3 linked regions of the Elephas maximus indicus genome follow. The protein of the gene in region 3 binds, or shares a complex with, the protein of the main gene of each other region. Links are inferred from orthologs where the notes say so. Each region holds a gene or a part of one and is shown on either strand. Other genes may lie near its edges. The genes, in order: LAMTOR3, LAMTOR4 and FLCN.

Region 1 (7,624 bases), on a different chromosome or scaffold from region 3:
CATAACAGCATCTTTTGAAACACATTTCAAAGAACATATTTTGTATTGCAAATTAGGTATCTGTCAGTTTAGAATTACAATTTGTTTCTTAGTCTTCATACTTCAGTGGCAATATTTTCTCTTTGTACAATTATGGTAGTATTACAGATATGCCCCCATTTCAAATGGATGTGTTAAAACACAATCTTAAACTGGCTTCTTTATTCCAAACAATATTTCATACTGAAAATGAAGAAGGACCCAACAAATGTAGAATTTATTATGATATAGTTGACTTATGAGTTAAATCTCAGTATTTTATTAATTACTTTTAAAGTTGCTATTGCAAAAATACTAAGGATTTTTAAAATTTGGAGCCCTGGTGGCGCAGTGGTTAAGGGCTACGGCTACTAACCAAAAGGTCGGCAATTCGTATCCACCAGTTGCTCCTTGGAAACCTTATGGGGCATTTCTACTGTGTCCTATAGGGTTGCTATGAGTCGGAATCAACTTGATAGCAATGGGTTTGGTTTCAGTTTTAGGTAGAAGTATTACTGTTTTACATAATTTAACGAGCCTCTTGTTACTCAAATAAAACATTAACTTTTTCTGTCCTGAGCGATGATTGCATATCTAGAAAATTTATGGGATAAAATTTGGAAGAGGAAACTAGAACCTGGCTTCATTATGCCTAGAAACCAACCACTCTGATCTTTTCCTTAGATCTTGTATACTCTCCCACTGTCTTTGACCCCAATCTCCCACCCTGTGTTCAGCACCACTTCTACTGTAATCCCATATAATATAGGCTATGGAAAGTTAATAAACTCTGTCATATTTTCAGTCAAATCGAAGGGAAAATATCACTGTATTTCATCGGATCTAATAAGCAATCAATTTAAGATACATCTCAGTTTCAGAGATGTTAAAATGTTAGGGGGAAATCCATCTCAGAATCGATGAAATACAGTATCATGCATTTCATTCTAACTTTATTGGTGATATCAGAGCCTTTGTTTCTGATTCTCTTAAAGTTCTCTTACCTGTTATATACAACAGAGATCTCAACTTTTTTTATTCTGGTTTTTTAACAATATATGCAGTGTCTTTACTAACTATATATACAGGTACTGGTATGCTGTGAAGGAGCCCTGGTGGCACGATGGCTGCTAACCAAAAGGATGAAGTAATCAATTTGGCTAGAGTAGAAGATTCACACTAGAATGTATTTGGAAGTCACTGCTCTCACAGGGATCACAATAGAGGGTCACAGACAGAGCTGGAGAAAAATGTTGACCAAAATTCTAACTCAAAAAGAAAGGCCAGATTTGCTGGCCTGACAGAGACTAGAGAAACCCTGAGAGTATGGCCCCCAGACACCCTTACAGCTCAGTAATGAAGTCATTCCTGAGGTTCACCCTTCACCCAAAGATTGAACAGGCCCATGGAACAAAACAAGACTAAAGGTGTGCACCAGCCCTGGGGTAGGGACTGGAAGGTAGGAGGGAACAGGAAAGCTGGTAACAGGGAACCCAGGGTTGAGAAAGGAGAGTGTCGACATGTCATGGGGTTGTTAACCAATGTCATAGAACAATGTGTGTACTGTTTGATGAGAAACTAGTTTGTTCTGTAAACCCTCATCTAAAGTTCAATTAAAAAAAAAAGTACTCAGAAGTAAAATAGAGTATTAGTGCCAGATTAAAGACTGTCAACTTTGTCTGTGATGGTACATCACTAAAGATCTTCTTAGCAGGCAGTAATGAGTGTTTTAAGAAGGTTCATCTGCCAGTTATTAAATGGCTATTGATATAGTCTTGCTGAGTAGAAATACGGTCTGAATCAAGAATTGAAAAAATACAGATGCAAAAATCATTGTTAGGGAAGAAAAGACATATCATGAGGAAAGAAAGAGAGCAGCCAAACATGATTCCTGACTAGTAGAATCATGGTACTGGTACAGACATAGGAGAAACAGGTTTATTAGACCCAAGTTTTTTAGAGCTTTTGAGTTAGAGCTGACAGTAAGGTATGTAGGTAGAAATATCCAACATCCAGCAAGCAGCTAAGAATGTGAATCTAGAACTCAGAGGAAAGACTCACATTCTCAGAACACGGGAAAGAGAACATTGCAGAGGAACCCAAGATAAGCTTGGGAAATGCCATCATCTGAACAGTTAGAGACTTGAGTGGGTGGGGACCTGAAACAAATAAAGCGGTGTCCCAGAAACTAAGAAATCAAAGATTTTAAATAAGGAAAAGGAAGTAATCTTTAATGGTGTCAACTGCTATGGAACTGTCAAGTTCACTTGTAAAAATTTGTAGGTGCTCAAACAGATTTTTTGGATGGTAAGTCTGGTGTGAGGAGGGAAAGAAGAGCCAGGGAAACCCTGAAAAGTAACTAGGTTTATTGTGCTCACAGTTCCCAGAGGCAGGGAGGCACAACACACCATGATGCAGGGCCACACAGGGGTTGCACCCAGAGAAAAAACCCAAACCAAACCCACTGCCGTCGAGTCGATTCCGACTCAGCGAAGGTAACAACAAATTATAGGAAAAGGCTTATGTGTGGCAAGCAGGGCAGGGTTAGCTAGGTTTTTCTGGTTTCCTGGGGAATAGGCATTCTTGAATAACTCTGCAAGCTCAGGGGGTATAGAGGGCTGTCCTGAGTTGTTAGGTACCTGGCCCTGGGACAATTAGGGTGGGTGCATAGTGGCCCAGGAATGTGAGAACCTGATGAGGGGAGTGGTTGGAGAGTGGAATTAATCAGCTGCTGAAGAAGGTGAACGGACTAGCCTCCAGCCAGGGCCTCAAAGCAGTCAAGACAGCATTTTTTTTTTTTTTTAATTGTGCTTTAAGTGAAAGTTTACAAATCAAGTCAGTCTTTCATACAAAAACCCACCTTGCTATGTACTCCTAGCTGCTCTCCCCTTAATGAGACAGCACACTCCTCCTCTCCACCCTGTATTTCCTGTGTCCTTTCACCTAGTTCCTGTTCCCCTCTACCTTCTCATCTCGCCTCCAGAGAGGAGCTGCCCACATAGTCTCCTGTGTCTATTTGAGCCAAGAAGCTCACTCCTCACCAGAAAATGATACTGTCTTACAGTCCAGTTCAGGCCCTGTCTGAAGAGTTGGCTTCAGGGATGGTTCCAGTCTTGGGCTAATAGAGGGTCCAGGGACCATGACTTTCAGGGTCCCTCCAGTCTCAGACCATTACGTCTGGTCTTTTTTATGACAATTTGAGTACTGCATCCCACTGTTCTCCTGCTCCATTAGGGATTCTGTTATGTTCCCTGTCAAGACAGCATTTTAAGAAAATTATATTACAGTAGATCATTTGTGACATTTGGGAACTCTATGGTTTACAATTGCCTCTTGTCAGGTATAGTTGTAGGAAATATGTATCCAAGACTTTTCACCATGTCTTAGGCTAGACTTAATCCCTTTTGCATTCCTGCTTTTAGGGGCGGGAAATGAAGATCAGTCTTAAACAAGTTTCCATAAATCTCGGAATTTTCCAAGACATACTACCCAGCTTTGAATAAATGAAACCAGAGGTAATCTGCAACTAAAGCCATGAACTTCAGTTTTCCTAGGAGGGGCTAAGGCAGTGGTTCTCAACTGGGGTGTGATTTTGCCCCCCAGGGGATTTTTGGTTGTTACAAAAGTGGGGGGGGGTGATGGGGGGAAGGGAGGAGGGAAGACTGCTAGCATCTAGTGAGCATAGGCAAGGGATGTTGCTAAACAGCCTAAAATGCACATGACAACCCCCTTCAACAAAGATGTATCTAGCCCAAAGTATCAGGAGTGCAGAGATTGAGAAACCCTGGGCTGAGGTGATCGGAGAGGGTTTCCCCCTTACCATACTTCGTAATCTTCCTACTACCTACTGTAGGTTTTTGTTAAACGTGAAAACAAGCAAGGCACCAAGCAAAAAATATTTTAGGCAATGCTTAGAAGGCAATCCCACATGTCAAGAACCAATGAGAAAACGTAGTTCAGTGCGTACCTTAAAAGAAGCAGAAGCTTGGGGTGCTGCTTGACTCCCCGAGCGCTCCAGAAAGCCCATGGCTCCTCGATTCAATCTAGACAAAACCTTGAGCAAAGAGCATGTAGGGTGACATCCATGGGAAAGCCAAAAAGAGACTAGGAAATCGGGACCAGAAACCTGTAGATCTGGAATTTCTAATCCCTGGGCAATCAATCTCATACAGCTCGTTAACGCCCTCCCTTCCACTCATTTACAAGAATAACTTTTAAGGTACTGGCCCTAAAAAACTAATAAAATTTATGCACGTTCTCCGCACAAAAATGTCTTCTTGCACAAGAACATGCATACATTTTCTGGGGGCTTTCGGGCCCAGCAATCTCTTTAAGAATCGCCTAAGAGTTCAAATCCGTCCGGCCCAAGGCAAGCGGGAGGGGCGGGGTAGCGCGGGCGGGGCGAGGCAGAAAGGGCCGGGGCGGGGCATCGCGGGCGGGGCGGGGCAGGGCGGAGCACCGCGAGCCAAAAAGCGCTCAGTTTCCGCCTACAGTCCCCGGAAATCCTGTGTCACCGGGCGTCGGAGGCGTAGGAAGTGCTTCCTGGGGGCCGACGAGGTCACAAATCATGTGAGGGCCGCTTGGGGAGGAACCTGTCTCCTAGTGTCCCTGAAGTGCCCGCAGAGAGAACCCGGGCATTCCCGGGAGCGGAAACCCAGGTAACTGGCGCCACTTTGCCCGGCATAGGGACTTGTGCCCGGGGATAGCGAGGGAGGGCTGTTGGTGGGGGAAACGAAGGGGGAGAGGGCACCACTTTTCCTAGCCTTTGGGCCCAGATCTCGGGGTGGTGGTGGTGGAGTGGGCTGAGGTAAGACATCCCGGATTCCCGTCGAGGTCTTGGGGAACACCTACTCCTTCGGCCTCTTTGGTACGGTCCTAGAGCCGCGGAGTCGGCTGGGGGTGGAGAAGGCGAGGAAGCTTCGAAGGAATAGTCACCAGAGGTTTCTCTTCCAGGCGTGGAGATTGATCCTGCGAGAGAAGGGGGTTCATCATGGCGGATGTGAGTTGACATTCTTACACAGGAAAAAAGGAGAGGGTGGGAGTTTGGAAAGGATACTGGGCGGGGAGAGGTAGAACTCCCCATGTACAGACCTTTCTTTTAGGCGTTCCTCCCGATTTTTTTCCCCTAGGGTCTGGAGTGGGAGACTGATAAGAATGGATTTGTGGGGTTCTGAGTTTCTGTCCAGTATGGGGTTTGAGGAGAGACTCTTAAGATATGCTTGAGGGTGAGAAGATTGTATTCTCACACCCCAATCCTGTGAACATCAAAGAAGCCCTGTGTGTTTACCATTTGAGCTTCTAAATGATGGTCTGCAGTCTTCCCAATCACTGTGTGGTTAGTAGGACATGTGCACTGAATGCTTTACTTTCCAGTAACCAGTCATGATGTCTCACTTGGGATTATTGTGACAACTTGAAATTCCTCTTTAGCACAGCAGTAAGACCCAAATTCCAAGCTTAGGGGACTTAATTGTACTAGTTACTGAAAAGTGCAGAGAATTACTGATACTAATGTTTATATTTTACATCCTGTTATCTTGCCGAATATTCTTCCAAACATTGAGTATATACTAATTTATTCTTATAACAACATTTAGAAGTAGGTACGATTATTATTCGTCTTATAGATGGTGATGCAAAGCCACAAAAAAATAAAGTAACTCACCCGGGGTTACACAGCTAGTAAGTGGTGAAGTCAAGAGAACAACGCTGACAGTCTGGCTCCAAAGGCTATATTCTTATCCACCACACTGAATGGTCATTCAACATGAATACAAATCCAGTTTTTCCTTTTAGGTTGCAAGATTATATGGTTCAAAGATTTAGGAACTTTTTATGCCTTTACCCACCGCTTATTTTTTTAGTACCATCGGTTATATTTTTGAGACCTTAATTCTTCACCTGTAGTCAAATCACTAAATATTGAGCATCTGCCTTGGAAAAGTTGCTATGATAAGGGCTATGGGTAAAATAAAGATGATTAAGGGATAATTCTTTAAGGGTTTTTAAGATTAATAGAGGAATAGGTAAGTGATCATAGATATGCATACATAATAGTGTGAAAATTGAGGAAAGGATTACATCTGGTTTTTGTCTATCAGAAAAGACTATTTGGAATATTTGATGGTTGAGATTTAGCTCTGAAAGCTGAGTAGCATCTTTTTTTTTTTTAAAAGTAAAATCGAGAGCAAAGTATTTCTAGTAGCGTGAATAGCATAAACAAAGTCCAAGAGTTAAGAAGGGAGAGGTGTGTGTGGAGAAACTGAGTCGACCAGCTTAGTTGGAGCTGTGGATATGTATGAGGATACAGAACTGTAAAATTAGACCTAGACTATGTTGTAGAGAACCTCAAATGTCTAAAGAGTTTGTACGTAATCCAGTGAAAGCTGGAGGGCCATTCAAACCTTGGCTACCCAGGGAATACCTCCAGCCCAGGCATCAATATTATTAAAGCTTCCCAAGTAATTTCTATAGCAAGGTTGAGAACCACTGCAATAAGGCTTTAGAGAAGGAGAATAATATGATTGGCGCAGTGTGGAATAGGATAGAAATGGGAGACGAGAATACCAGTTGGGAGATTAGTGCAAGTCATAAATAGTAAAAGAAATAAAAATAACAGTGTCTGTGGAAAAACAGGAAAAGATCAATTTAAAAACATTTTATTTGACAAGTGATTTAAAAGTGGCAAACGTGAATTAAAGTTAAATGTTAACTCTTGGTTTCAAACCTAAAACCAGGGGATTGGTAGTGCCATTAGTGGAGAGAAGAAGAAATTGAGGAAATCTGGATTCAGGGGCAACAGGATGAGTTCATTTCTCTGTGTGTGTGTGTATTAAGATGAAAGCAAGGTAAGCTGGTAGCGATGCATTCAGGTTTAGACAATTGTAGGTATTAGAGGTTCTGAAGAATAGATGGTATCTGATTCATCTACATAGAGGTCTTAATTGAAGCCTAGATGGTCATTTTCCCCAGATGAGAGATACGAGGAGGCAAAATAAAGTAGTCTTCCATTTCTTTAGTTCTGATTATGATTTAGGCGTCTCTGGGTGGTGCAAATGGTTAATGCACTCACTGTTCACTGAAGGGTCGGTGGTTCATTTCCACCCAGAGGCACCTCGGAAGAAAGGTCTAGCGATCTACTTCTGAAAAATCAGCCATTGAAAACCTTATGGAGCACAGTTCTGCTGTAATACAATGGGGTTGCCATGAGTCGCAGTCAACCCTAGGGCAACTGGTTTTGTTATTTTGGTTTAATTAACGTTTCATGCTTAAACACACTTTGTGTTGTCATTGTAATCATCTGAGAATCATTAAAAGTGATATTAGAAAATCTTATTTATAAATATAGCAAGATAGTCATATATTCTCAAGCAAACACAGCAGTAGCAACAGGATATACAATAGTATGGAAAGTATAATCTGATTTTACGTGTAATGTAATTTTTGTTTTCTGTTACCAGGTATGCTAATCACTTTATATGCATCTTCTCAATAAACTGTAACAGCAATCTTATTAAATAGGCTCTATGAGTATTCTTACTTTATAAGTAATAAAATTTAGGCTTAGAGAAAAGGTTACTTAACTTATTCCAAGTCACACAGTTAT
Region 2 (7,367 bases), on a different chromosome or scaffold from region 3:
CAACAGAGCAGGGCTGTGGGGCAGTGCAGGGCGGGGTCTAAGGGACTGTGTTAGTACTGCTCAGAATGTGGCACTCAGTGCATGGTGAAGATAGGCAGAGGGAAAGGAGAAGATGTGATGTGCAGAGCTAAATGGGTGAGTGAAAAAAGAGGGAGAAACAAAGGCAAAAAAAAAAAAGGCAAAAATTTAAGTAAAAGTAAATAAAATGGTGGTGCAGTAGGATTCAGTGGCTGGGGGTGGGGCAGACCCAGCGAGGCTATGTGCTGGTGGCGCTCTACCTGAGTAGTATGGCTCAACCTGTTGAGAAGTGGTGTGGGTGGCACATGGGGCTAGGTGGATGGGAGAAAGGAATGGAAAGAGGGGAAGGAGACAGAAGACACCAACAATCAGAGAAACAAATATAATAAATAAATAAAAAGAACAACAACAAAAAATATGATGGTGGTGGTGGTGGCAGTTGGAGATGGAGCAGAATTGGGTGGCAGCAAACTGATGTCTCTTTCACCAGGTAGCACAGCACAGCCCATCAGGAAGGGGTGCAGGGCCAAGGTGAGAGGGAATGGATGCAGAATTTGGAACAAACTCTTTCATATTCATATTGCTATTAGTAATTTCAGCACTGCCGGTACTACTACAATGATTTGCACCCATTAAGCTTGAGTATTCAACAGAAGAAGTCTCTACTAATTCATTACATTTTTAAAAGGAAGTTAATTTTGGACTTGTTTTTAGGGATTCACAAATCCTTTTCTTTCTATCATCTGTGAGCTTTCATTTTTGCACTCCACTTAGTTGTTGCCATTTCATTTTACCTGGATATAAAATTATGTCACTTTTGAAATTTGGTTCTAACACAGCAAATAAATATGAATAACTGACAATAAATAAAACTTATAAAACAAGTGAAATTTATATTTATTTATAAAATAAATTTTACATACGAATTTGGACATTAACACAAAAATTTATATTTGAAAATAGGTAAAACAATTGATTTGGAACATGTAATTTTGTTCTTCAGGTCTGAGTCAAAAGAAATAGTACTTACAAGGCAATAGGAAGTAATTTCATTCGTTTGTCATACAATGTTTGTTGGCAGGCCCTCTCCAGATCTCCACAAGTGTTTTTCCCCTTGAAATAACACTTAAAAACGTGCATGCTTACTTTTTCTACTTTGATGCTGCGTCTTCATGTTCATTGGACTACTACTGATACCCAACCAGGGCGAGAGCAATCGCAAAGAGCATGATACAACTACAAGGGTATGCTCAATCTGAAGAAGTGTTTTGGTTAACTTTGTGGGACTGGATACGTCATGAGTCACGTGATTATTGTGCGACTGACACGTTCTTATGTGGTCCACGAGAATTGAATATGGGGTTATACCCAATTGATGCGAAATGAAAAGAAAATATGATTGTTATTGTACACAAAATTTATAAAATGGTATCAATTTCATTTAGTGCACTGCCAGTTCCCTTCCACTGCAGCACTTGCTTTTCCTTGTGCCCTGTCTGCTTAGCATTACAGATCTTTGCTTTGGACAACTGGTACCCCTGTTTTGTTGATGCCCTAAGCACGTGCTTACCTTGCTTATTAGGTAATCCAACCCTGGTGCCACCCAGTGATTTTTAAGGCCAGGAAGGTCTTGTAAATTAAGTGTCTCCACGGAATTTTCTCTCTCTACATCCCCTTCCAGTTTAAATTTTATAATTTAAATTTAGATCTTCTCTCATTTTTGTAAAGGCATCCACCTTCTCTAATTAGCTGTTTCTCCTCAAGCAACAGTACTTATTTTTTTTATTGAGATATAATTTGCCATTTCAAAGTGTACAATTCAGTGGATTTTAGTATGTTCACTAGGCTATGCAACCATTACCAGTCTATAATCCCAGAACATTTTTATCACCTCCCAAAAAAGCCCTGTACCCATTAACAGTCACTCCCCATTCTCTGTCCCATCAATCCCTACCCATTGTTATCTAGTCAATTTTGACTCATAGCCACACTACAGGACAGAATAGAACTACCCCATAAGATTTCCAAGGCTATAAATCTTTGTGGAAGCAGACAGCCACTTCTTTTTCCCAAAGAGCAGTCACCAGCCCCTGGAAACCACTAATCTGCTTTCTGTCTCTATGTATTTGCTTATTCTGGGTATTTCGTATAAATGGAATCACATGGCTTCCTTTGTCTGGTTTCTTTCATTTAGCATGTTTTCAAGGTTCGACCACATTGTAGCATATATCAGTACTTCACTTCTTTTGTTGTTGTTATTGTTAGGTGCTGTCCAGTCAATTCCAACTCATAGCCACCCCATGTGACGAGTAGAACTGCCCCATAGGGTGTTCTTGGCTGTCATCTTTACTGAAGCAGATTGCCAGGTCTTTCTCCTTCAGAGCTGCTGAGTGGGTTTGAACTTCCAACCTTTATGGTTAGCAGTCGAGTGCTTAACCATTTGTACCGCCAGGGCTCCTTCCATTCTTTTCTCTCTCTCTTTTTTTTTAATTATCGTATTTAAATGAAGGTTTACAGAACAAACTTGCTTCTCATTAAGCAACTAGTACATATATTGTTTTGTGATGTTGGTTACCAACCCCACGACATGTCAACACTCTCCCTTCTTGACCTTGGGTTCCTTATTACCAGCTTTCGTGTCTCCTGCCTTCTAGTCCTTGCCTCTGGGTTGATGTGACCCTTTAGTCTTGTTTTGTTTTATGGGCCTGTCTAATCTTTGGCTGAAGGGTGAACCTCAGGATCCTTTCATTCTTTTTTATGGCTAAACAATATTCAATTGTATGCATATACCACATTTTATTTATTCTTTCATAAGTAAATGGCTATTTGGATTGCTTCTACTTTTTGGCTAGTATGAATAATGCTGCTATGAACACTCATGTGTAAGTTTTTGCGTGAACATGTTTTCAAATTCTCCTGAGATATACCTAAGAACAGAATTGCTGGGTCCTATGAGGAGCCCTAAGGAGTCCTCGTGGTGTAGTGGTTAAAGTGCTTTGCTGCTAACCAAAAGGTCAGTGATTCAAACCCACCAGCAGCTCTGAGGGAGAAAGATGTGGCAGTCTGCTTTCCTAAAGATTTACAGCCTTGGGAACCCTATGGGGCAGCTCTACTCTGTCCTATAGGTTCGCGTTGAGTCATAAACAACTGGAAGGCAGTAAGTTTGGTGTGGTTTGATGAGGAGCCCTCGTGGCACAATGGTTAAACATTTGGCTGATAAAACCAAAGGGTAAGTGGCTTGAGCCCGCCAACAAGTTCACGGGAGAAAATAACTGTCGATCTGCTCCCATAAAGATTATAGGCTAGGAAATCCTATGGGGGCAGTTCGACTCTGTCATATAGGGTCACTGTGAGTAGAATTCGACTCAGTGGGATGTAACAATATTATAATTATATTTTTAACATTTTGAGGAGTTGACAGACTGTTTTCCACAGTGGCTGCACCATTTTACATTCCCACCAGCAGTGTATGAAGGTTCCGATTTCTTTACAAGTACTTATTATCTCTGGAATTATCTTTATTTTACCTCACCAACACTGCCTTAGTCCCTTTAGTATTGCAGCAGCTCTGGAAAGTGTCTATTCCTATGTTTACACATATCTTGTGATAAAACCAAAACACCCGTTGCTGTTTAGTCCATTCCAACACATAGCGACCCTATAGCATAGAGTAGAACTGCCTCATAGGGTCTCCAAGGCTGTAAATCTTTGGAAGCAGACTGCCACATCTTTCTGCTGCAGAATGGCAGGTGGGTTTGAACAGCAAACTTTTGATTAGCAGCCAAGTATTTAACCAGTGCACCACCAGGGCTCCTAGCATTTTGTGATATATGAAGATACCTCGCTCCAAGGTCCTGTTACTAATTTTTCTGGGCAGAGAATATGCAGTATTTTCTGTTGGCTGTATGGGGCGGGGGGGCACCACTTTGAGCATCCCAGTTGCCTAGAGTAGGCATAAGAATACCATTTTGAATAGGTTTCAGAAGCATGATTTTATTTTATTATCTCCTTTTAGGGTGAAGAAATCTGAAACCCAATAAATGTTTTCGCTTCGGGTCGCACTCTAGGAAGCCAAACCCAGATTTTACCCCGTGAGCCCTCCTTCGCGCAATCTCAGCCCTACCCGCTCCAGGGCCTTCCCCGCTCCTCTAACCCCTACACACACTTCCCCCTCCTCCTGGCGTTCAAGCTCTGAGGGGCGGGATACGGGTGTTAAAGAGGGTACGTGACCAATCCGCGCGCGTCTTCGCAAAACGGCGCTTCTCACTGGTAGATTCGGTCTGATGATGTAGCCCATGCTCCAGTCATGCTGGGGGCGGGGCCGAAGTGCGGCGGCGCCGCGCAGGAAGCACGTGATCTGGGACTCGGTTAGGAAGCTGCCCCTCTGGTAGGGAGTGCCCCCAGCACCTAAAGCTTGCGATGGTGAGTGAGGACGCATGCGCGGGAGTACGCGCTGGGGGTTCCGCGTTCCAGTCCCCCAACCTTCTTGGTTGCCCCTTCCTGGGCCTGCACCCCACCTTCACCGCAAGCCACCCCGGGACTGGAAGAGTGGAGACGGGAGGGACTAAGGACAGAGAGTGCTGGAGGGGCGGGGCACGAGGGGAGTTGGAGGGTCTGATGTGAGGGACCAGTGGGGCTGTGAAGACATACTGGGGTATCACATCAAAGGTAGGATGTGAGAGGCCGAGGGAGCCCACGGGCAGAGGGAGATAGAGAGGACAGACGGAGGCACAGAAGGCAAGGGAAAGCTCAGTGTTTGAGGCCAGGTAGAGGGAAGGGTCCTGGCTGGGGAAGAGAAGGCCTGGGGGACTGTCATCAAGAGAGGGCCTTGGGTTTGCAGGTCACGGGTGTCGAGGGCCACCTTCCTGGCGTGCTTCTCACTGATTGCTCCTTTAACCACTAGACTTCTGCACTGACCCAGGGGCTGGAGCGAATCCCAGACCAGCTTGGCTACTTGGTGCTGAGTGAAGGCGCAGTGTTGGCGGTGCGTTCTGGGGAAGGGAGGGGATCCCCTAAGAACACATCGTCCATCATCTCTTACAGTATTGCCCATTTTACCCGAATTTGTCTCTATTCTTTGTTATCACCTAGTAGCACGCCTAGTGTATAGTAAGTTTCAGTAATCCGTCTCCAACTTTCCTGAGATAAAAGAGGCTTACTAACTCTATTAAGGGTCACAAGTTTGTTGGTAACTGATATTACCTGAGTTATTCTCAAGTATGTATTTGGTATTTATTGACTAGGCTTTGTATTTTGTTCCATAGTACAATATAGTGTTAGCTTTCTAGAAGTTTTCAATTTAGCTAAAGAAACAATGCTTAAAAGGTTAAAAGTTGAAAGCAGGGTGAGTGGTAAAGACTACTGATGAAATCAACCCTTCATGTTATATTATGTAATAACTTGTGTTATGGTAAGGAAACTGTCTTGGAGGTAGAAATCCAGGATGGGTAGTTGTGAAGAGGAAGAGAGTTCTTTGGGGCTGGGAAGTGGACATATTTGCAGGTGTGTGACACCAACCTGTCTGATTTGGTGGGTGTCACATGGAGAAGATTTGGAAAGGTTTGGGGGAAGAAAAGGATATTGTAAAGAAAGGACCAGATTGTGGAGGACTTTCAAAGCCAGATTTGTACATTTGGACTTAATCTTGAAGGTAGTAAGGAGCTATTGAAGGCTTTTGAACGGGAACACTACCTGATGAAATGCTTTAGCGAGATTTTTCTGTTAGCAGTGTGAAGATGGAGTAGGGGGTGATGAATTTTCAAGACTGGGCAGTAAACTAGGTATGAGACTGGGCTGGTGGCAATGAGGAGCGAGAAAATAAATTTAGAGGAGGAATGACTAGATATAGGTAATGGAGGAGATACTTCTCCATCTAGTAAGGCTTTGAACTCATAAACCTGGAAGAATGATGGTGCCTCAACAAACAGGAAATGAAGAAAGGAAGTTGATTGGGGAGGGTGGGAAGTACAGGGAATTCCATGTTTTGACTTTAAACATTGAGTTTGGTGTGGAATAACAGCAGTTAATGTAAATGGTAGGAGCTGTTCTAAGCATCTTGCCAATATTATTTAATCTTCATAATAAGTTTATAAGGTACTGTATTGTTCCCAGTTTGCAGATGAGAGAACTGGAGTATAGAATGTCCAAGGGAGCGAAGTGCAGTAAACTTAACTTAGTGGGAGGCCCATATCAAGGAGGTGGGAGAGGAAGTTGAGATAGTCACCAGAAAAAGAGGAAGCCCAGGCCACTGTCACAGCACTGACCCAAGGTCTGGGTAGTAGGGAGAGATGTCAGGACAAAGGGGATGGTTGTGCTCCAGATTCTGCAAACAGGGCAGTAAATGGGAAGACAGAAAAGACGGATCTTCTAACAATTCAGTGGTCATTTTCAGGGCTGAGTATTGGTTTTCGAGAATGTAGTTTTATCAAATACTTGGGGACAGGGAACAAAGTCAATTTCCAAGGGGCTAGGAAAGAATGGTCAGTAAAGAAATGGATGAAGAATCATCAGGGGAAGCCCAGTATTATAAGAATGAGAAATAGGATGACACAAAGAGGAAGCTATAACACCAAGGAAGGTTTTAGTTGTTTTTCCAGAACTGGGGTAACCTAGGAATCTTGCAAAGTGAAGAGGGAGAGGTTCCACACACTAGAGACAAAGTGACTGCCTGGAATTCCTTCCCAATTCTCTTCCCTCATTTCTGCCCTCCTCCCTCCCACCTGCGTGCAGTCGTCTGGGGATCTAGAGAATGACGAGCAGGCAGCCAGCGCCATTTCTGAGCTGGTCAGCACCGCTTGTGGTTTCCGGCTGCACCCGGGCATGAACATACCCTTCAAACGCCTGTCAGGTGAGCCCCCATCTCTGCCCTGGTGGTGTGGGGGGAAGGGGGCTTCTCCCAAAGGCTGCTGCTTCTCAGGGAAAAAAGACTATCTCCTACCAACTCTTCTGTCATCGCCTCCTGGGGTCGCTGGTTCTGGCCACTTTCTTCCCTTTGAGGTCCCCTCCCCTGGACCAGAGTTGATATGAGCAAGAAGGGGACTTATTGGAGGCCTCTCATCTTTTGAGCCTTGAACTATAGAATTTCTTTGGCTTTTGGTATCAGCCAACTTCTGTGATCCCATGGAGGCCATCGCACCACACTAACCCTGTGCTCCCTTCCCTCTCCTGGGGCGTCTCTCCTCCAGTGGTCTTTGGAGAACACACGCTGCTGGTGACCGTGTCAGGACAGAGGGTGTTTGTGGTGAAGAGGCAGAACCGAGGCCGGGAGCCCATTGACATCTGACCCTGCGAGAGGGGAGGGTCGGAGAATGTGGATTGGGTCCATGAGCCGCTTGCGATGAGGAAGGCAC
Region 3 (6,975 bases):
CTCCTCACTTATCAGCTATCTCATTATACAATATTTTGCATTAATGGCGATAGTAAAAAATCTACTATCTGACTATTTTGCACATTAACAATGTGTGCCTGGCAGTAACAAACATCAAGCTGTAAGGCGATAGTAATGCTGGCTGTGACGGTTAAGGTTTGGCCATGATCTCAGTGGTTTGGTAGTTATGTAATGATGTAATTTGTCAGTTATATGATGATGTAGTCATACTCCATTTTGCAATCTGATGTGGTCATCTTCTGTTTTCGCATAGTGCTGATTTTTGCATAACATCTGGTCTTTGGAACCTAACCATGTTCATAAGTGAGGAGTGGGTGTATATATGTGCATTCTTGTCTTCTTTGTTTTCTGAATATTTCTGCTGAGTTTTAATTGTCTTTCCCACTGATAACATGGGATTCATTTTCTGGCTTCTAGTATGTCCATTTTGTTGACTCCTCTTAAAGTTTATACTCTGTGAGAACCCAGTTTAATTAACCCTTGGTACAATTCACTGGGGCAAGGATTTGGCAGGTTGGTGATGCAGTGGTTGAAGCAATAGACTACTAATTGAAAGGTCGGTGCTTTGATACTTCTGTAGAAATTTATAGGCTTGGAAACCCTGTGGGGTCACTGTGAGTCGAAATTGACTTGATGACAGTGGATTTGGTTTGCAGTTTTTGGGGTAGTTTTTAACAGGTTTTTAGTTATATTTGAGAAAACCCCTCCAAAAGAGGTAGTTGGCTAAGGCCAGTGATATTGGGAAAGATAATAATGGCATAAAGTGAGTCCAGCTGTAGTAAATACACCTTGCATTTTATTGAAATAGCAGCAGTTGGATAGACCTTCTTCATCTCAGGACCTTCATTAGCTTATCATCATGGAAATAAGTTAATCTAGGCAAGGTGGTGGCTCCCATTAACAAACCGAGGAAGTTACGTTCTGAAAATTGAAGTTACAAGATGAAAAAAACAAAATAAAACAACTTTTTCTTTGCTTATGACTGACGAATGTTAGTCTCAAGAATGAGGAAAAAACAGATGTCTTCGGTACCTACGGCTGCTGTAACGCAAATTATACAAGTGGATAGCTTTAAAGAACAGGAATTTATTTTCGAACAGTTCTGGAGGCTAAAGTCCAGATCAGGGCCTCAGCTATGGCAATTCTTTCCTTGTCGGTAGTCCTGGGCATTCCTTGGTGTTCTTGGCTTATAAATGATCCTCCCAAGGTACCTGTTTCTGCCATGTGTGTTGCTGTGTCTAATCTTTTCTTTCTATAATTCAGAAGTGATTAGATTTAGAACCCGTTCTACTTGTGTTGTTGTTGTTAGGTGCCATCGAGTTGGTTCCGACTCATAGCGACCCTATGTGCAACAGAACGAAACGCTGTCGGGTCCTGAGCCATCTTTATAATCGTTGTTATGCTTGAGCTCATTGTTGCAGTCACTGTGTCAATCCACCTTGTTGAGGGTCTTCCTCTTTTCCGCTGACCTTGTACTTTGTCAAGCATGATGTCCTTCTCCAGGAACTGATCCCTCCTGACAACATGTCCAAAGTATATAAGATGCGGTCTCGCTATCCGTGCTTCTAAGGAGCATTCTGGTCGTACTTCTAAGACAGATTTGTTCGTTCTTTTGGCAGTCCATGGTATATTCAGTATTCTTCGCTGTTCTACTTGGGTATGGTCTAATGAACACAACAAAGAAAACCCTATTTTCTATTGACAGGTATACAAAAAAACCAAACCCAGTGCTGTTGAGTTGATTCCAACTCATAGCGACCCTACAGGACAGAATAGAACTGCCCCACAGAGTTTCCAAAGAGCGCCTGGTGGATTCGAATTGCCAACCTTTTGGTTAGCACCCATAGCACTTAACCACTATTAACCACTACGCCACCAGGGTTTCCTAATTAGTCATTTAAAAGCAAAATTGATTACTGCCGTGGAGTCATCTCAGATTCACAGCGATCTTATGTACAACACAATGAAACGTTGCCTGTGCCCATTCCTGTGCCATCCTTACACTTGCCAGCATGAAGGAGTCCATCATTGCAGCTATTGTGCCAATCCATCTCACCCAGGGTCTCCGCTGCTCTCAATGGCCCTGTAGTTCACCAAACATGATATCCTCCTCCAGCGATTGATCCCTCCTGATGACATGGAAAGCAAGTGAGTTGGACAATGTTCTGTTGTGACCCATAAAGTTTGCGTTAGTTAATTTTTAGAAGTAGGTCGTCAGGTCTATTCTCCTACTCTGAGTCTAGAAGCTGTCCTGAAACCATGGATGACCCTGTTGGTGTTTGAAATACTGGTGGCATAGCTTACAGCTCAGAGCAGCATACAAGCCACCTCAGCATGACAAACTGACAGACCGGTGGTGGTTAAAAGGAATGCCCAACCTCATAACGTTTTCTTCCCCCATCAATTTCTTTCTTCTATCAGGCCCCATTTTCAACGTAACCTGGAAATTTGAAGGGAGAGTGAGGCTTTACTGTGATCTTTCCCAATACTTCATTACAATCATATTCTGGACACTCGTTACCAGGAAGAAGTTTATGAGCTTTCCTGGAAATTCAAGGTGTCTTTGATCTTTTTGGGGGGCCCTGGTGGCACAGTGGTTAAGCGTTTGGCTGCTAACCAAAGGGTCAGCAGTTGTAATTTACCAGCTGCTCCTTGGAAGCCCTGTGGGGGCAGTTCTACTCTGTCCTACAGGGTCCCTATGGGTAGGAATCAACTTGACTGCAACAGGTTTGGTTTTTTTGGTTGTTCTTTTTCTGTAGTGCCTCTTAGTCTTTATCAAGAAACTCTAGTACCCATGACTTCAGAAGTATTTAACCCAGAAACAGAGCTCTGTGGACCCCATTACAATATGCACTAATGGTTCAAAATTAATTATGAGATAGCCAGACAGAACAGCCTGGATCCTGCTTCTGACCTCTGGTTCTTGGGACATGAGCCAGCATCCTGCAGTCTTACCTGCAGATTTTGAGATTCACCAGTGCCCACGCATCAGTCAGTTTGTTGTTCTGTGGGGGCTTATGCGTTGCTGTGATGCTGGAAGCTATGCCACCTATATTCAAATACCAGCAGGGTCATCCACTGTGGACAGGTTTCAGCTAACCTTCCAGGCTAAGACGGACCAGGAAGAAGGACCCAGCGGTCTGCTTCTGAAAAGAATTAGCCAGTGAAAATCTTATGAAAAGCAGCAGAGCATTGTCTGATATAGTGCCAGAAGATGAGCCCCTCAGATTGAAAGCCACTCAAAATACGACTGCTGCGACAATTGGCTCAAGCATAACAACGATTTTGAGAATGGTGAAGGACCCGGCAGTCTTTCCTTATGTTGTACATAGGGTCGCTATGAGTCGAAACAGACTGGACAGCACTTAACAACAGACTAGCAGACGCTCAGGTGTTGTGTTTTTCAATAGTGATTATTCAGTAACTGAACTTGGCATTTTGAAAACTCAGCAGCTGCTGGAGAGACCCTGTGTGCACCGTGAGCGGCGTGTGGCGCGCACATGCGCACTCCTACCCCGCCCCAAGGATTGACAACACGGGCCTCCAAATCGCAGGGCACGTCGCTCTCCGGCAGGGTGCCAGCCTGCGAGGGCCACCCTCCTAGTGCGGGGAGAAGGCGGAGTCAGCGCGGAGCTAAACGTGATGGCAGTGTTACAACGCTGAAGCTTCTTCCTGTTTCTCTTTCTCTTCGTTATGGATCAGAAGTCTTAAGCTGACTATACGTACCTCAGATCTCTTTATAACAAATTGTCCTTTCAGGTACACATGCACACCCCGCCCCCGCGAGATAGCTTCCTTTCATAGCCCGCGTCCCCCGCCGGCGTGGTCGGAACCATTCTGTACTTTTCGCGGGGGGTGGCGGACAGGGGCGGCGGCGGCGAAGAAGGGTGGCGGGCGGCTGCTTCGGACCTCCGGCCGGACTCGAGGTTGCCAGTCCTCTGAAGCTTTGTGCGGGGCCCAGCGCGGCCAGGCTTTCCTCAGGGCGGAGGGCGCTCGGCCTGCCCCTACTCCGCCCACCCCCACGGAACTGGTGAATGGCGTTGCCCGGTCAAGTCAGGCGCTTCTGTCTCCTGTGGGGCGGTGCTGAGCTGCCACGGGACCCAGGTGAGAGGCTGGGTCGGGGGCTGGGGGGGTCCGGGGACGCGGCTGGACCCGGGAGAGGGGGCTGGGCCGGGGTCGTGGACGTCGAGGGCCGCGGCGGGACCCGGGCTGGGCCGTGGGGGCTGGGGGCCGCGGCGGGACCCGGGAGAGGGGGCCGGGCTGGGCCGTGGGGGCCGGGGGCCGCGGCGGGACCCGGGAGAGGAGGCCGGGCTGGGCCGTGGGGGCCGGGGTCCGCGGCGGGACCCGGGAGAGGGGGCCGGGCTGGGCCGTGGGGGCCGGGGGCTGCGGCGGGACCCGAGAGAGGGAGCCGGGCTGGGCCGTGGGGGCCGGGGGCCGCGGCGGGACCCGGGAGAGGGGGCTGGGCTGGGCTGGGCTGGGCCGTGGGGGCTGGGGCCGCGGCGGGACCCAGGCGAGGGGCCGGGCCAAGCGTGTGGGGCCAGGTGAAGGCCGCCTGCCTGCTGGGAGGGGGAAGGACCGCGGGGCGGGTTGCCTGGGGCCAAGAGGGAAGGATGGGATGGGATCTATGTCTGGGGTCGGAGGAGGGGCACGAGGCTCTGGTTCCCTAGACAGCGCGGCGTGGGGTTTAACAGTGGGTGTGTGACAGGGCCCGAGGGAATGGGAATCGTTGCTCTCAAGTACTCAGCTCTCCCGCTGGACAGACCCTGAGCGCGGTGCTGTGCTTGCGTTACCTGAATGTAACCCCTTTCTAGCGCCTGGTGAGGGGATGTGGGATTATCCCCACATCGCCCTTGGGGAACCTGAGGCCCAGAGCCATGGCTAACTTCTCTAGTCAGTCAGAGGCAGACTTGGGATTCGAACTGTGATTGTCTGCCCCCAAAACCCCGGGCTTTTTCCTAGAGTCGGAAAGGGAGTTTGGGCTCCAGGAAGGAGGGTTATCTTTTTACTTTACTGAAGAAAAGAACCGGGTGATAGGGGTCGGAGGGGCTGCAAGGGGAGAGCGTTAGCTGAGGCAGGTTTGCAGGTGTAGAAGGGGCGCGAGCCCTGGTGGAGAGAAGGATCGGTTGTGTAAAGCCAGGAGAGGTCAGGGACCTGAGGGGGATGGAGAAACCAGACCTGTCTTCAGGGTTAGCTGAGGGCGCATAGCTGAGTGGATTTTAAGTTGATCTGGGGTTGGTTAGTGATTGGAGTCATAGTGGAAGGGATCTGCCAAGAACCTGTGATACAGAGGGAGGGTGAGATTTGGGATGGGGGAGGGGCAAATCCATGAAGTCCTGGAGTGTACAAATAAGAAATGTGACCTGACTTAAATGCTAGCAAGCAGCTATCTAAGATGCATCAGTTGGTCTCAACCCACCTGGAGCAAAGTAGAATGAAGAACACCAAAGACACAAGGTAACTATGAGCTCAAGAGACAGAAAGGGTGACATAAATCAGACACTACATCAGTCTGAAACCAGAAAAACTAAATGATGCCCGACTATAACCCATGACTGCCCTGAGAGGGAACACGACAGAGAATCCCTGATGGAGCAGGAGAGCAGTGGGATGCAGACTTCCAATTGTTGTAAAAAGACCAAACTTAATGGTCTGACTGAGACTAGAAGGACCCCGGAGGTCATGGTCCCCAGACCTTCTGTTGGCCCAAGACTGGAACCATTCCCAAAGCCAACTCTTGAGGCAGGGATTGGATTGGACTATAAGACAGAAAATGATACTGTTGAGGAGTGATCTTCTTGGCTCAAGTAGACACGTGAGACTATGTGGGCAGTTCCTGTATGGCGGGAAGATGAGAAGGCAGAGGGGGACAGAAGCTGGCTGAATGGACACAGGGAATACAGGGTAGAGAGGAGGAGTGTGCTGACTCATTAGGGAGGGAGCAACTAGGAGTACATGGCAAGGTGTATATAAATTTTTGTATGAGAGACTGACTTGATTTGTAAACTTTCACTTAGATCACAATAAAAAAAAAAAAGAAATGTGATCTGAGCTTAACACCGCCCCCCCTCCCCATCAGGATCATTGATCTATTTTCATTTAATTTTGCCTACCCCCGCCTAGATTTTGCCTTCCCTCTGGTTTAGGGGAAAGTGGGTGTCATGATTCTTTTTCTCCCAGGCCTGCATTCTGAGAGCCTTCTGACAAAGCTAATAGGCCTATATGGGTGTCCTTCAGGGCAGAGTAGATGGGCAACTTCTTCTAGTTTGGTGGGTGTTAGTGGTATCCTTTTCACCTGAAAAGAATGTGGAGCCCAGGGATTGGTTTGTTGCAGATGAAGGTCCAAACTGGTCAGTTCCAGCCACCTGAGGCAGAGGGCGAGGAGGAGCTTGCTGAAAGGAGGTACTGGTTCTCTGGCCCTTGGACACCTGGCACCACCCATTGGTATCTAGTTAGGTTGGCAGGAGGGCCTCCGTGTTGCAGCAGAGAAAGGCCATGGCCAATTTAGTGCTGGAGGCACTAGATCACCAACATTGTCATTGAGCCGTTGAGTAATAGTGGCATGTGACAGTGTTTCCTCTTCTAGTGTCTTATATCAAGGAGTTGTGTAAACAGAAGCCTAGGTGATGTCAGTAGAAGTAGTAGAGCCACAGTGTGAGTGAGTGTGAGCTGAAAGTAATCCCTGTGGACCTTTTCCACCTTGTTCTTACTAAAATCCCAAGCACTGACTTAGGGTCCTCTGTGGGAGATGAGTCTGATGCTCATGACTGGTGAAGTACCATTGTGATACCTCATTTATTTGCAAAGTACTTTCATTTACTGTCTAATCCAAATGGTCCTATGAATAGGTCCAGGGCGTAGGCTACGACATGGCTGCGGGGGCGGGTGAGGGATGAGTGCAGAGAGCACTGTCGGGTCCATGGACTTAGCCAGTGTGTGAGGGGAAGGTGGACAGGA

The links.
Region 1: FLCN (region 3) and LAMTOR3 share a complex: the UniProt entries of both Homo sapiens proteins name them as parts of the lysosomal folliculin complex. The link is inferred for Elephas maximus indicus from reciprocal best matches to the Homo sapiens genes FLCN and LAMTOR3.
Region 2: FLCN (region 3) and LAMTOR4 share a complex: the UniProt entries of both Homo sapiens proteins name them as parts of the lysosomal folliculin complex. The link is inferred for Elephas maximus indicus from reciprocal best matches to the Homo sapiens genes FLCN and LAMTOR4.

The regions. Positions count from the first base shown.
Region 1 is NC_064823.1:53,261,022-53,268,645, forward strand, and holds the start of LAMTOR3 (ragulator complex protein LAMTOR3), read left to right. Parts: upstream 1-4,521; 5' UTR 4,522-4,676; intron 4,677-4,971; 5' UTR 4,972-5,008; coding exon 5,009-5,017; intron 5,018-7,624. UniProt on the Homo sapiens protein: As part of the Ragulator complex it is involved in amino acid sensing and activation of mTORC1, a signaling complex promoting cell growth in response to growth factors, energy levels, and amino acids.
Region 2 is NC_064830.1:91,691,716-91,699,082, forward strand, and holds the start of LAMTOR4 (ragulator complex protein LAMTOR4), read left to right. Parts: upstream 1-4,340; 5' UTR 4,341-4,437; coding exon 4,438-4,440; intron 4,441-4,921; coding exon 4,922-5,002; intron 5,003-6,747; coding exon 6,748-6,865; intron 6,866-7,202; coding exon 7,203-7,300; 3' UTR 7,301-7,367. UniProt on the Homo sapiens protein: As part of the Ragulator complex it is involved in amino acid sensing and activation of mTORC1, a signaling complex promoting cell growth in response to growth factors, energy levels, and amino acids.
Region 3 is NC_064820.1:215,293,060-215,300,034, forward strand, and holds the start of FLCN (folliculin), read left to right. Parts: upstream 1-4,051; 5' UTR 4,052-4,125; intron 4,126-4,132; coding exon of another isoform or gene 4,133-4,723; intron 4,724-5,481; exon of another isoform or gene 5,482-6,975. Other genes in the region: uncharacterized protein LOC126068403, read left to right, coding at 3,522-3,660, 3,888-4,051, 4,133-4,723. UniProt on the Homo sapiens protein: Multi-functional protein, involved in both the cellular response to amino acid availability and in the regulation of glycolysis.